2 linked regions of the Arabidopsis thaliana genome follow. The protein of the gene in region 1 purifies or fractionates together with the protein of each later gene. This does not show direct contact. Each region holds a gene or a part of one and is shown on either strand. Other genes may lie near its edges.

Evidence for each region. The genes of interacting proteins can lie anywhere in the genome.
Region 2: the proteins of DRM2 (region 1) and AGO4 purify together in Arabidopsis thaliana (affinity purification with western blotting; one study listed by BioGRID). This does not show direct contact.

Annotation. Positions count from the first base shown.
Region 1 is NC_003076.8:4,714,604-4,720,692, reverse strand, and holds DRM2 (domains rearranged methyltransferase 2), read left to right. Parts: upstream 1-1,988; 5' UTR 1,989-2,114; coding exon 2,115-2,237; intron 2,238-2,315; coding exon 2,316-2,448; intron 2,449-2,523; coding exon 2,524-2,573; intron 2,574-2,670; coding exon 2,671-2,770; intron 2,771-2,848; coding exon 2,849-2,895; intron 2,896-2,970; coding exon 2,971-3,075; intron 3,076-3,202; coding exon 3,203-3,299; intron 3,300-3,834; coding exon 3,835-3,932; intron 3,933-4,018; coding exon 4,019-4,714; intron 4,715-4,832; coding exon 4,833-5,264; 3' UTR 5,265-5,588; downstream 5,589-6,089. Other genes in the region: SK13 (shaggy-like kinase 13), read left to right, coding at 1-21, 103-159, 278-418, 532-582, 725-820, 904-987, 1,069-1,171, 1,261-1,343; AT5G14610 (DEAD box RNA helicase family protein), read right to left, coding at 5,980-6,089. UniProt on the Arabidopsis thaliana protein: Involved in de novo DNA methylation. Controls asymmetric and CpNpG methylation. Required for FWA gene silencing but not for the maintenance of SUP gene silencing. Functionally redundant to CMT3 to maintain non-CpG methylation.
Region 2 is NC_003071.7:11,536,377-11,544,152, forward strand, and holds AGO4 (Argonaute family protein), read right to left. Parts: upstream 6,016-7,776; 5' UTR 5,851-6,015; exon of another isoform or gene 5,832-5,850; intron 5,131-5,831; 5' UTR 5,128-5,130; coding exon 4,855-5,127; intron 4,696-4,854; coding exon 4,490-4,695; intron 4,412-4,489; coding exon 4,187-4,411; intron 4,111-4,186; coding exon 3,974-4,110; intron 3,878-3,973; coding exon 3,780-3,877; intron 3,681-3,779; coding exon 3,583-3,680; intron 3,462-3,582; coding exon 3,293-3,461; intron 3,197-3,292; coding exon 3,080-3,196; intron 2,999-3,079; coding exon 2,891-2,998; intron 2,802-2,890; coding exon 2,739-2,801; intron 2,671-2,738; coding exon 2,557-2,670; intron 2,460-2,556; coding exon 2,294-2,459; intron 2,204-2,293; coding exon 2,088-2,203; intron 2,011-2,087; coding exon 1,873-2,010; intron 1,779-1,872; coding exon 1,651-1,778; intron 1,557-1,650; coding exon 1,491-1,556; intron 1,407-1,490; coding exon 1,343-1,406; intron 1,262-1,342; coding exon 1,150-1,261; and 10 more. UniProt on the Arabidopsis thaliana protein: Together with RDM3, required for transcriptional gene silencing (TGS) by DNA methylation and repressive histone modifications (H3K9me2) of several chromatin loci.

The DNA.
Region 1 (6,089 bases):
ATAAAACCACAGAATCTTCTGGTTCGTATCCTTAGTTGATTTTATTCATAACATTTTATTGGTCTACATGCTTCTGCTTGATCAATCTTGTGCTTCTCGTAGGTTAATCCTCATACGCATCAGGTCAAACTATGCGATTTTGGTAGCGCAAAAGTTCTGGTATAGCATTTGTAAAGAGACATGTTGATTTGTTTTCATATTGAAAAGTTTGCACTTTTTATGGTGCTATGCAATGTTAACTAGTCCTAACTATTTTAGCTTTGCCCCTCTGTAACAGGTTAAAGGCGAGCCAAACATCTCATACATCTGCTCCCGTTACTATCGAGCACCTGAACTTATATTTGGAGCTACAGAATATACAACAACAATTGACATATGGTCTGCAGGCTGTGTTCTTGCTGAATTGCTTCTGGGACAGGTAATATGACTGTCCAAACTTTCCTCCATTTATCTTTTACAAATGATTTGATTTACCGAATGATGTCTAAAGTTATATATTACCAATCTTTGGCTTGTCCAACTTTTGGTTAGCCTCTATTTCCAGGTGAGAGTGGAGTTGACCAGCTAGTTGAGATAATAAAGGTACTTCAATTTGGTTAAACAAACACACATAATCCTAGCCATTGCTATATTGAACATAGAGTGGATCATTGATTATATGGAATGAAGAGGCTCCATTTCCTGCTATTGATTGCCATCATTTTGTTTACTGTGTGTGTTACAGGTTCTTGGAACACCAACACGGGAGGAAATCAAATGCATGAATCCAAACTACACAGAATTCAAATTCCCGCAAATAAAGGCTCATCCTTGGCACAAAGTAAGCAAACACATCATCAGTTTTTCCTTAACATTGATCTCCATATATTCTTACGATTGAAAAATCTGTTGTTGGTTCTTAAGATATTCCATAAGCGTACACCTCCAGAAGCTGTAGACCTTGTCTCAAGACTTCTCCAGTATTCTCCAAACCTCAGATCAACCGCTGTAAGTCAATGAAGTGATTACCATAATAACATTATGTTTGATATATCTGGTTGGTTGATTCAAACTTACTTGTTATTGTAGATGGAGGCGATAGTTCACCCGTTCTTCGATGAGCTACGTGATCCCAATACACGTCTTCCTAATGGTCGTGCCTTGCCTCCTCTCTTCAACTTTAAACCTCAAGGTCTGTCTCCTCCAAATATGCTTTTGTTTGTTTCCCAATGCTCCGTTTTAACAAAGACTAAAAGTGTGTGCTTCTTGTTAAATATGTAGAGCTAAAAGGAGCAAGTTTAGAGTTGTTGTCCAAGCTTATACCTGACCACGCCCGAAAACAATGTTCCTTCCTCGCTCTCTAAATCTCTTCCTCTCTCTCTATATATATGTGTGTGTGTGTGTATGTACACATGCATATAATATGCTTATCGTTTCTAAGTAATGGAGATAGCTTCTCAGGATTATCATTAGCTTTCATCTTTCATGTATCTTTGTTGTTTATTGTCTTATCACAACCTTTGTACTTTATTACATACAATGATTAGTGTAATGTATGTGACGGTCTTTGACTCGCCGGTCGCTACAGTTATGTTGGATACTAAATTATAAAATAAACTTCTCGCTCGTCACGTGTCATTGCATGCATCCAAAGCTCATGCTTCAAAGCTTAGCCAAACTTATTTTTAAAAAAGCCTATGTTCTGTGTAAAAGTGTCATTTACGAGAGTTTCTTGTTTAAGTTTAACCAATTTCACTTCCTCAAACGAAATACGGTAATTGGTAATATCCTCTAAACATGAATTATCATTGACTATAAAAATTAGTTTCGCAAATTGCCTCTAAGCACCACAAGTGTCACGTAACGTGTCATTTATTCATGTTTATTGATTTAGTTAATTAAAAACATTGTAGTTTAATTATTGAAGTAGTACAAAGAATAGGGACTAAATTGCAATACTCTGAATTTGTTTTTTTCTTTTTTAGAATCATCCGACTTTTTGTTTCACGGTTTCCTCCTCCAGTAAACTGACGACGATACAAGCTCTCTCACCAACGGCGACAGTATCTTTGCCGGCGGCGGGAGCGCTTCTGCTTAATCTGTAGCTCAAACTAAAAATTCTCTGGGTATTACTCATGGTGATTTGGAATAACGATGATGATGATTTTTTGGAGATTGATAACTTTCAATCTTCTCCACGGTCATCTCCAATACATGCAATGCAGTGTAGGGTCGAAAATCTAGCTGGTGTAGCCGTGGTAAGTGATCCAATCCAACAGTCATAAGTTTATGCCTAAGCAGAATCATTGCTTATGTGAATTTTTGTTTTGTTTCAGACAACTAGTTCTTTGAGCTCTCCTACTGAGACAACTGATTTAGTTCAGATGGGCTTCTCAGACGAGGTTTTTGCTACATTGTTTGACATGGGATTTCCTGTTGAGATGATTTCTAGAGCGATCAAGGAAACTGGTGAGGCTTTTTTCTCTTGTTTGTATTCCTTTCTGGATATATATGATCCGTAACTTGATACCAATAATTATACAGGACCAAATGTAGAAACTTCGGTTATAATTGATACTATCTCCAAATACTCAGTGAGTTTCTAATACTTTGATCTCTTGGGTTGCTTGTCATTTACATGTGCTTCTGTCATCACAGTATTCATATCCTCTCCTTTGTTTATTTGTGAAGAGCGACTGTGAAGCTGGTTCTTCCAAGTCCAAGGCTATTGATCATTTCCTTGCTATGGGATTTGATGAAGAAAAAGTTGTCAAAGCCATTCAAGAACATGGTACTTACAGATTTCTCTCCTCCTTAAGTAAGAAGTAACACTTTATCACTTTGCTGATATTTGCTTTATAAATCGCAGGAGAAGACAATATGGAAGCAATTGCAAATGCATTGCTCTCTTGTCCAGTAAGCGATGTTACGAAAATATACTGTCTCTTGACATTAAAAAAATAGTACTTAAAGTTCGTTGATGGTTTGTAGGAGGCTAAGAAACTGCCAGCAGCAGTAGAGGAAGAAGATGGCATTGACTGGTCATCAAGTGATGATGATACCAATTACACCGATATGTTAAACTCAGATGATGAGGTATAACTCTTTCATGTTGGTGATAACATATTTAAGCATCCCAGGTTTGAATTGTAAATGTATCTCACTGCTATTTTGTATATGTATCTAATTTTATGCGTTCTTAATCTATTTTAAATCATGACAGAAAGATCCAAACTCAAATGAAAATGGCAGCAAAATACGGTCTTTGGTGAAGATGGGTTTCTCAGAGCTTGAAGCTTCTTTAGCTGTCGAGAGATGTGGTAACTTTATTTTAAACGATTGCCATTGTCATTAAATTTTAGTTCCGTTTTGTTCAGGTTTCTTCTAGACAACGTCGTATAAATTGCTTGGTTTAGCCTCTGATTTAGTGGTGTAGGCCTTAGATGTGTTTGCTGAGCATTTTGATTGTATTTCACTAATCGAAAGTTGTCATTAGTTCTGTCTTAGCTTCTGGTTCTGTGATGTACGCCTTAGATATGTTTGTAGAGAATGTGATCGTATTTCACAAAATGATAAAAGTTGTCAGTACTTGATAAAATTGTATGTTCACTAGTTCCTTTTTATTCAGGTTTCTTCTAGAGGAAGTGGCATAAGCCAAATTGCTTAGTTTTAGTGTAATGTGATAGTCAAATTGTGGCTTTAGCCTCTGGTTCTGTGATTTAGGCTTGAAATGTGTTTGCTGAGCATTGTGATTGTATTTCACTAAATGATACAGTTGTCAGATGTTAATATATATCTCTTACTTACTCTAAGTATGTTGCTGCCTTATCCAGACTCATATGATTGTAATTTCAGGAGAAAATGTGGATATTGCAGAGCTCACAGACTTCCTTTGTGCTGCTCAAATGGCTAGGGAATTTAGTGAGTTTTACACTGAACATGAAGAACAAAAGGTACTGTTAAAACCTTTTTTATAATCTATCTTTTGTAAGTTAATTCCTTTGGGAACTGATTATTTTGGGAAATTTGGTGTATGCAGCCTAGACATAATATTAAGAAAAGGCGGTTTGAGTCAAAAGGAGAGCCAAGATCATCTGTTGATGACGAGCCGATTCGTCTACCAAATCCAATGATAGGATTTGGGGTTCCAAACGAGCCCGGACTCATTACACATAGATCGCTTCCAGAGTTAGCCCGAGGGCCACCTTTTTTCTACTATGAGAATGTCGCCCTCACACCTAAAGGCGTTTGGGAGACTATTTCCAGGCACTTGTTCGAGATCCCACCTGAGTTTGTGGACTCAAAATATTTCTGTGTTGCAGCGAGGAAGAGAGGCTACATCCACAATCTCCCCATCAACAACAGATTTCAGATTCAGCCTCCACCAAAATACACCATCCATGATGCATTTCCTTTGAGTAAGAGATGGTGGCCAGAATGGGATAAAAGGACCAAGCTTAATTGCATTTTGACTTGTACAGGTAGTGCTCAGTTGACTAACAGGATTCGTGTAGCCCTTGAGCCTTACAATGAAGAACCAGAACCGCCTAAGCATGTACAAAGATATGTGATTGACCAGTGCAAAAAATGGAATTTGGTTTGGGTGGGTAAAAACAAAGCTGCCCCACTCGAGCCAGATGAGATGGAGAGTATTCTGGGATTTCCAAAAAATCATACTCGTGGTGGAGGCATGAGTAGAACTGAGCGCTTCAAGTCCTTAGGAAATTCGTTTCAGGTAATTTTACATATCATATGCGTAATAATACTCTTTGTAGTTAAAGTCTTTTGCGTATTTGATTCATTGGTGGGTGGCTTGAATACCTTGGTTTAATGGTTGGTTGAACTTGTTTTAGGTTGATACTGTGGCGTATCATCTGTCTGTCCTGAAGCCCATTTTCCCACATGGAATCAATGTTCTCTCTCTTTTCACGGGTATTGGTGGTGGGGAAGTGGCACTTCATCGTCTCCAAATCAAAATGAAGCTTGTTGTGTCTGTTGAGATTTCAAAAGTCAACAGAAATATTTTGAAGGACTTTTGGGAGCAAACTAACCAGACTGGAGAATTGATCGAGTTTTCAGACATCCAACACTTGACTAATGACACAATCGAAGGGTTGATGGAGAAATATGGTGGATTTGATCTTGTAATTGGAGGAAGTCCTTGTAACAATCTGGCAGGCGGTAATAGGGTAAGCCGAGTTGGTCTTGAAGGTGATCAATCTTCGTTGTTCTTTGAGTATTGCCGTATTCTAGAGGTGGTACGTGCGAGGATGAGAGGATCTTGATCATTCACATTACCTGAAGTAGATTGAAGTAGATATGACTCCATGAAATCTAGTTGAACTTTATTTTTCTATATCTGTTATGTAATATGGCCATGAAGGTACATTTTTGAATAATATAAGTCAACCTAACTCTCTTTTGCTTTTTGCGACAATATATCTGCAACTGCATTTGCACTTTTCTCTTCCCTGCCTTAACACTGATGTTCAGTAATGTATTCAACCAGACAAATGTGTCATCATATAATCTTTGATCCTTCCTTCATGCGAAGGGTTAATGGAGAAATATGTTTGGGGTATTTGTATAGACACTTTGGTTAAGGAGTCAATTAAGAGTAGTCAGTGACTTGTAAGCTGAAACTGCAGTACTTTTTTTTTGATATACTGATATTGCAGTTCTTAATAACGAAACAAACTTGTTTACTTCAAAATATCAAAAAGTCATTCCTATTTAGAGGTCTAAAACATTTATCAGCTGAGAAACATCCACTACTTAAACACCAACACAGAAAGAACCCATAAACGAGTCTTTATTTTCCATAATATAAACAGAAAAAGGTTTCTCGTAGACCAAAACATTAGAGTATCCTTCAGGTGTGTATGATTTTAAAAAGTACTAGCAGCTTCGGTCCACACACCACAAAATGAATAATTTACCCCAAGAGAAAGAGGCTCTTCTATATGTATATTGCCCCAATCTGGTTTAGATTCCAATGACTTATCTATTTTTCATCATCATCGCCTCATGAAAGCTGCGAGGCGGAGATGAAGTGGACGGTGGACCTCCTCTGAATCTCTCAGGACTACGGCTTCTCTCTCTTCCCCATC
Region 2 (7,776 bases), on another chromosome or scaffold:
GTGACGTCCTAAACTTCAGAAATATCCACTACAACAAGTCGTGAACTCTTAACTTTGACTAGGTTCTGTCATTTGTTTTGGTTTCAGTTTTTAATCATGAGCACTACACAAAAGGCTTTGCTTTGTCTAGGTTATGTATGTAGTCTGTTTCCAATGCAAGAACGATTTAGACAAAAGGGTAACTTCCTGAACTTAGATATTCACTACAATAAGTCTTTAATTAAACAACCGAATTGTTAAGGGGGACAAAAGCATATTCAAACCCCAACAGGCAAACAAGGCTGGCGATAATAGTCACAAAAAACATTCCAAGCCTTAGTGTCGATGCCTGGCTTCAAGGCCGAGAGAGATCCTAAGCTGAAAGTCAGATAGCCTATTGAACTACTACTTACTTACTGAGCCAAGTAGGGCTGCTCATTTAACAGAAGAACATGGAGTTGGCGACGTTGTCTTTGAGTCTTGGGAGCTGTGCAACAGAGATTGGTCCTGGAGCTGTGATACCACCATGGCTTGATGATGTCTCAGACTGATCTTCAAACTTCATGAACGTCCCAAGCTGAGCAGCTGCCAAGTGAGCATAGCAGATCGGCGCAACTGCACAAAAAATTAAAATGTCAGTTATTAAGAGAACAAATGAAGACGACTTTAAATCGATGGAGTAGAGAAAACAGTTATGGTAATTACCAACAGAAATGGCACTGGTGCTTCTTTGGTACCTGGAATTTTGCCAAAGAAAGAAATCAGATAATTTCTGTTATCATCACAATCGAAGTTGTCACAAAAAATGTAATGAAGGTTGAATAAGAGACTACATACACATAGGAGAGCGAGTGGACAAGTTCCTGAAGTTCGTCAGCTGAAAAACCAATCTCATCATACAGGACGTGGTAGTGAGTTGGGCGGGTAGTTCCCTAATTCAGAACATAAAGAGTATTAAAACGATTCAGAGGAGCAAACATTAACAAATAAAGTTTTGAGTTGATAGATGAAACTTACAATCATTCCAGCGTGAGCACAGAGGTAGAAATCATTGTTCTTTGGGTGACATATTTTGTTGTCAATGATTGTCCCTGCAAAATAACCAAAACCCCCATGAGATAGAGATCAGCTATGTGTCAAAAAAGGTTATAATATAGATTTGTCAATCACCTGGAGGAACATTTTCAGGAGACGTTGGCTGGAAGAACTTGGTATGATGATTCTTTTGAGCCACCAACAAAAGGAACTTTGGGTTCCAATTTGCGTCTAAGAGCTTGCAAGCCTGAGGAAAGAGAAATGCAATTAAGTACTAACAGAAGAAGAAAATTACACTGAGAAACTTTTATTTTGAAGTTTCAACTACCTCGATGATCTGATCAAGTTCAATATTCAGAACCTGATTGAATTGAGATTCACTCACACCATCCCTAGAAGCATTAAACATCGAAACAACCAATATGAGAAAATAAAGATGGGAAAAATGAAGAGACAAAAGCTCTGATGTAACATACCTGAAAATTATGATATGCTCTGGTTTTCTCTTATTCGAGCTGGTGTAGAAATCTACCAGCAACTCCCTGCAATCAACAAATAAAGTTACATAGATACTTAAACCAGACTTCATGCAAAGATTAAACAAAAGCCACATCAAGAGTTAGTGTAAGTGCACACTTGATAATGCCATCGTCTTCAGTTCCATTTTTCTTGACAAGGGACTCAATCATCTCAGCCTTAGAAGGCTGTGTCCGAACAGATGCTCTATATTTGGATATCAGTGGCCACTCCCTAGAACTCACCACCTAAGTTAATCATAACAAAAGAGACAACTAAATATCAGTCTTGAAGAACTAGCCAAACTAAAAAGCAAACAACAGCAGTGAGTAAACATTTTACAGCAGCGATGGACGGGACATCAGACTGTCCAGGAGATCCATGTGAAACATCCATCCCAAGGATAATGGTTGGAACCTTAGAAATCACAGTGAACGCAGGTGTACGCTCTACACTTAACATTGAGTTCAGGCCTCCAAGCTGTAGTTATATGTTATCAGAGATTGCACACAAGAAGCAAAAACCATTTCCAAAAGAGAAAAAAGGAGAGAGATCACCTTTGCATTAATCTTCAGAAGTAAGTTAGTAAGATACTGATCATTAGGTTGCCGCGTTGGAGCCATGCATTGAGTAACAATGCCAAATTCAGTTAAGTTTTTTTTCTTCCATGGACCTGATGAAGGATTCAAAGTATTTATCCAAGGAAACTTCTATTATATAAAACAAAAAGATGATTGAAGACTGGATTTAAGAGATATCTAACCATAGAGATCACTGTTCTTTTTGTCAGGGAGCACACATAGTATGAATTGTGGGACACCAGGGAGTTTCGATTGGATGTCCTTAAACATGTTCTCAACACGAATCATAGGAGGAGCACGGCGGAATTGATTACCCTCCTCAAACACTTGAAAGGGAGAAGCAATTTCCTGGGACAGAATACAGAAAGAAGCAGTATCTAAATTGTTGATAATCACAAACAAGTTTTCAAGAATACTAAAAACAAAAGAAGAGAATCCTGCTTACAATTCCTTTTGATCCTCCAATTTTTATCAGATCATCAACAACTTGACGTACATTACAGCGAGCAGAGAAATTGACAACAACCCATCGTTGAATTTTGGTGGGCTCAACAAATTCCTGTACAACAAAGGGAATCAGACTCTCTGAACAGGTAAAATACAAAGAAAGGCAGAGAGAAACAGCACCTTGTTGTTGAAGTTCCAGCGACCATTTCTGGGAAAGGTTTCAGATCCACATCCCATTTTCAGCTGTCAGTCAAAGAAAACAAGAGAATATTACATGTATGCAAAAGCTAAAAACAATTCATCATGTCAAAAAGTAAGCGATCGCACCATACCTTGGGAGCTGGTAGAACACGACCCTCCACCTGAGTAAAGTTGGAGCTGATCGAAATGCCACAGGATCGCAGGAGTGGTTCCGCATCATAGTTGCTAACTTTCAGAGCCTGAAAGCATGAAACCAAAGATATGTAAATTCCAGTTCACTGACAAAACAGAACAGTTATGAAGCGGTCAGGATACTTTACTTTGGACAGAACAGTCATCCTCTCTTGGGGTTTCTGTCTGGATTTCTCAACAAGGGCAGATCTTTGGAACGTGGTAAGTGCTTTTGTGTACCTCTGAAGTGGAACCAACGCGCAGAGCTGCGAAAATTCCACCACATTACATACATTAGCATGATTTTTGAAAACAAATTAATACCATGACTATGAGAACGTTGATGAGTATAAGAGGCAAACCTCGAGAGGAATGTAAGTGGGTCGCTTTGGCTTCCCAACATTGATGCAAGGCAAATCCGCAGAATATTGCAAATCAATATGCCTTGTATCGCGGAAGTAGTCAGCAACTGTAACTTCAGTAGTTTCGAACTCTCCATTTTCATTTGGGTTCCTTTTCTTCAATTCAAACCTAGACAGTGTAAAAAGCAAACTTCAGAGAACCATTTATCTTTGAAAGAGATCACAACGTCAGAAAACTAAAACAGAAACAAATGCATCTCACAACAAAGTCAAATTAGTGAATATCTTACGTTTGTTCCCTGCAAGGCTTGTCACTCAATCCGGTTATCTTGAATTCTTGGCCTGAGGGGCTGACCTTTACCCTTAGGTTCTTAAGGGTTCGTTTAGCCTGTTGAAAACAACATGTTAAAATGTGTCAAGCCAAGCAAAAGAGGTAAGGAACATGTTTAGATTATGAAAAAGCCACATATCATAATAAGTAGTTAACCTTAGACCAGTCAATCGAATAAGGGTCCCTAGCATTTTGGTTAGCAATTAGGAAATCAACCACTGGACCAGGCTTGATGATCATGGTGGTTGTAACATCTAGCATAAGAACAAAACATAAACTATTAGACACTAAATTATTGCTACAACAGACAGAATCAAACACCAACATCAAGTACAAGTGAAATTATGTACCCATATTAAGTGACATGCCACCCTGCGTTGTTCTGAAACTGGAGTGAAATCCCCTACATCCTAAGATGTTACCACCAACTGGTTCACAGTTGGTTGGATCATTGTGGAAAAAAGACTGTCGAACAAGCAAGCAACCTCTGCAATTTGTACCATAGGTATTAGAAAGACAAATATATGAGATTAACAAAATACATATATACACTTGACACTTACTGTCTAGCAGCATGTTGCCTCAATATGATATCAAGAACCCGTATTGCCTCCTGGGAATTCTCTGATTCTTGTCCCCGCATTGCATTAGCAAGAGCTTGAAGAGGAATTTTGGCCGCATAGCTGATCTCCACTCTAAAGTTTTTGGACCGGTTAGGCCTACGCAGTCTTTTCCTATCACCATCACTTGGACTTTCATTCCCATTGGGGCTTCCGTTTCCATTAGCCCTGCTCACAAAATCCTTACTAAGAACAAAAACTAAAGCACACAACCAATGTAATGACTATAGTCAGATGATGTTTTACCTTGTAGCAGATACTTCCTCAAGCACCACAGAAAAATCCATCTTGTTACTAGGCAAAGCTCCATATGTAAACAACGTCTTCTCACCGTCATAAGCAAACTCTTTACCATCCAGATCAGAATGGTAAGTCTGATGCACCTTGTCAAGGATTTTTCTTCCAACACCCTTTTGTTCAACAGGACGACCATCATCATAGAATAGAGCCACCTGTACAAACCCACAAATAATCCCATTAGTTTGACATCATTCAGAACCAAATAACAGAATAAGTCAACATAACAGTAGCAAAAAAACATACACACTGCATCCATTCTAGTGACATCAATCATCCAACAAAAATAACACAAAATAGTTTCAAAAACTTACACTGTAGTGGAAGAAATGACCCTGAAGATTAGCCACATCGACTTTGAAATGATTTGTTAACAAGGGGATCTTTTGGCCCCTTGTTCCAAATCCTTTTCGAGCCATAGGAACTCGAACTGGCCCCTTCTTCTCAGCAAGTTCAGTTTTAACACGAACTGGTTCCACATTTGGAGGTATAACTGGTGGAGGAGGTGGTAATGCCTCAGTAACCCCACTCCCGTTTGCCCCATTTGCTGATTCAAGATCAGCTCCGTTACCATTTGTTGAATCCATCTCCTGCTCAAAGAAACCAAACAAAAAAAAAGTTCAGATTTCAACATTTATAAGCAAAAGACACAATCCTATACAAAACCAAGCAAAAATTTCAACATATATGAGTTTGTTCTGTCGCAATCTAAACAAACATCAAAGCAAAAATGGTAAAATTTGAGAAAGTTTGCAACTTTCCTTCATAAATCCCAAAAGAGAAGTAAAATCTTTGACTAAAACTAAAAAGCCCCAATTTTTTTGACGCATGCAAGTGTAAGCAAACATGTATAACACGGAAAAACGTCAGCTTTCATGACATAGTAACAAAATTGCGTCAGCCATGTGACAGTTCATAGCTTTATTCAAAAGACAAACCCAGAAAGGTGACATCTTTGAAGCAAAAACCTCATCAAAAATCTCACCTTTAAAACAAAAAAACCCACAAAATCAAAGTGAAGAAGCTCTATAAGCAAGAAAAATCCAAACTTTTTAACACATTAACTCTAAAATCTACAAAAGAACACTGCATGTGAAGTATTCAAGCTTGAGAGTAAGAATTTGTAAAAAAAAACTCGGAAAAAATAGGTTTTTGATATGAAAAACACAGAAACCACACAAAAAGTCACAAACCCAGAGATTAAAGAAGCCACATTTCTAAGAAATACACAAAACCTATGAGCTAAAGAACATAAACCCTACAGTAGAATCAAACAAAAAAGCACACTCACAAGACCCTAAAATCATCACCTTTGAGTTTATCGATGAAACAAAAACGAAACCCTAGCCGAAACAAGAGAGGATTATTTTTCTTTCTTTTTTTTTCAATTTCTCTCTTTTGCTTTTTTATTTTACTCTCAAAATTTAGCTCCGACCTGAGAGGAAAATGGTTCAGTGACAGTAGCATAAATCGAGGATTCTTCGCTTTCAGTTATGTTCCTCTACGTCACGGCTCCATCATAGTAGAGCTACTCTTACAATCTTGACCGTTAAAATGGTTGACTTATGTTATTGACTTCGCTTTGTGTCCCGCTAGATTATTTTAAATTTTTTAATTTCAATTGGTAGTGGTGGTAGACAAACCTTCTGTGTTCTAATATTGAATGTGCGCATTAATTGACACGTACATGCTACATAACTATGGATTTAACAACTGTGTTACAATAATTATAAATTATTATTAAGCACAATATAAAATTTAAACAGTTTTATGTCTCCTAAACTATGTAACTTATTGTCAATTAGTTTATGTGCTTCAATGATCTCGTTTATGGTTGATCCTCACTGGAATCCATTTTTGATTATTGACTAAAAAGGTATCTAAGCCGCAATTATAAAAATTATAAATTGGTGAATAGAGATTAGGTGGATTCAATAAAGAAAACTATAATTGGAGATGATTCTTGATCTGTGATTAAGGTTATAAGTGGAGAAAGACAAATAGTCAAGTGTGTGACATTTGGAACTTACATAGCTAGCCAGCTGGAGAATGAGGGTATCTACAAATATTCTCTATAGTTTAGTTATATTACACACATCGGCAAGTTAGCTATATATGGTTAATTACAGATGCAATTGGAACCAAAATTAAAATGATACTCCACTTAGAGAGACATCACATTTTTGAAGTATATAAGATCAGGAGGTGCTTGAATTATGTTATTAATATTATACATTGTGTACACTTGAGATATAGGATATAATAAATTTAGTTAGTTAGTGTTGACATATAGTTTTTAAGTGTTTGACATTTGGAACGTACGTAGTTAGCCAAGCCAGCTGGAGGACAAAAACTAGCTAGTTGGTGAAAATGGATATCTACAATTACCTTCTAGCTAGCTAGGTGGCTAAAGACAGATGCACTCGGAACCAAAACAAACAAGATACCCGACTTGAAGAGACCACATTTTAAAGCATACAAGATCAAGAGAGGTGTTTGAGTTGTGTCTACGTTCAGACCCAAAGAAAATTGAAAGAAAACGATTTCTGGCCTAACCATCTAGCAAGTGATATTTAGGATCGGATGCTTTGTAACTTAAAGGAATTTGTGTGCATTGTTTCTTAACCATTGTGATAGTTTACCAAATTGATTTTGAATTTGGCTAAGTTACGTTAGAGGCTTTTACCACACTAATCATGAATTAGCCTAATTGTTAGAGGTTCATTATCTTGAAAATATGTAGATCGATTGCATGATTTCTAACATCTTGATTGTTCAATTTATCTATCTTGTTTATTTGCTCATTTTAGTTCTTAATTTTGTTAGTTTAGTTTTCAATTATCTACTATATATAGTTTAATTGCTTTCATTTATCCCTTCTTTTATTCTATGCATGTTAGGGTATTAGTGAGACCGTAGATTCTCATACCGTCTTATGGCAAATGATTTCATCATAATTTAATGTGTTATACTGTTATGGCATTTTCCCGTGGATTTGATTCAATCTTTAGTTACTCCAATGACATACCACGCATATGCGTAATGTGTATTTATGGTTAAAATTACATCACATGAGAGTATCGGACAATTTACAAAAATGTATACGAGGTAGTGTATAAGACGGTGTATGGGATAATTCATATGGTTCAGTACAAAATAATATACTAGGCTGTGTGCGTGAAGGGATGTATGAGATGGTATAAACAGAGGTGTATAAGATGATGTACAAGGCCGTG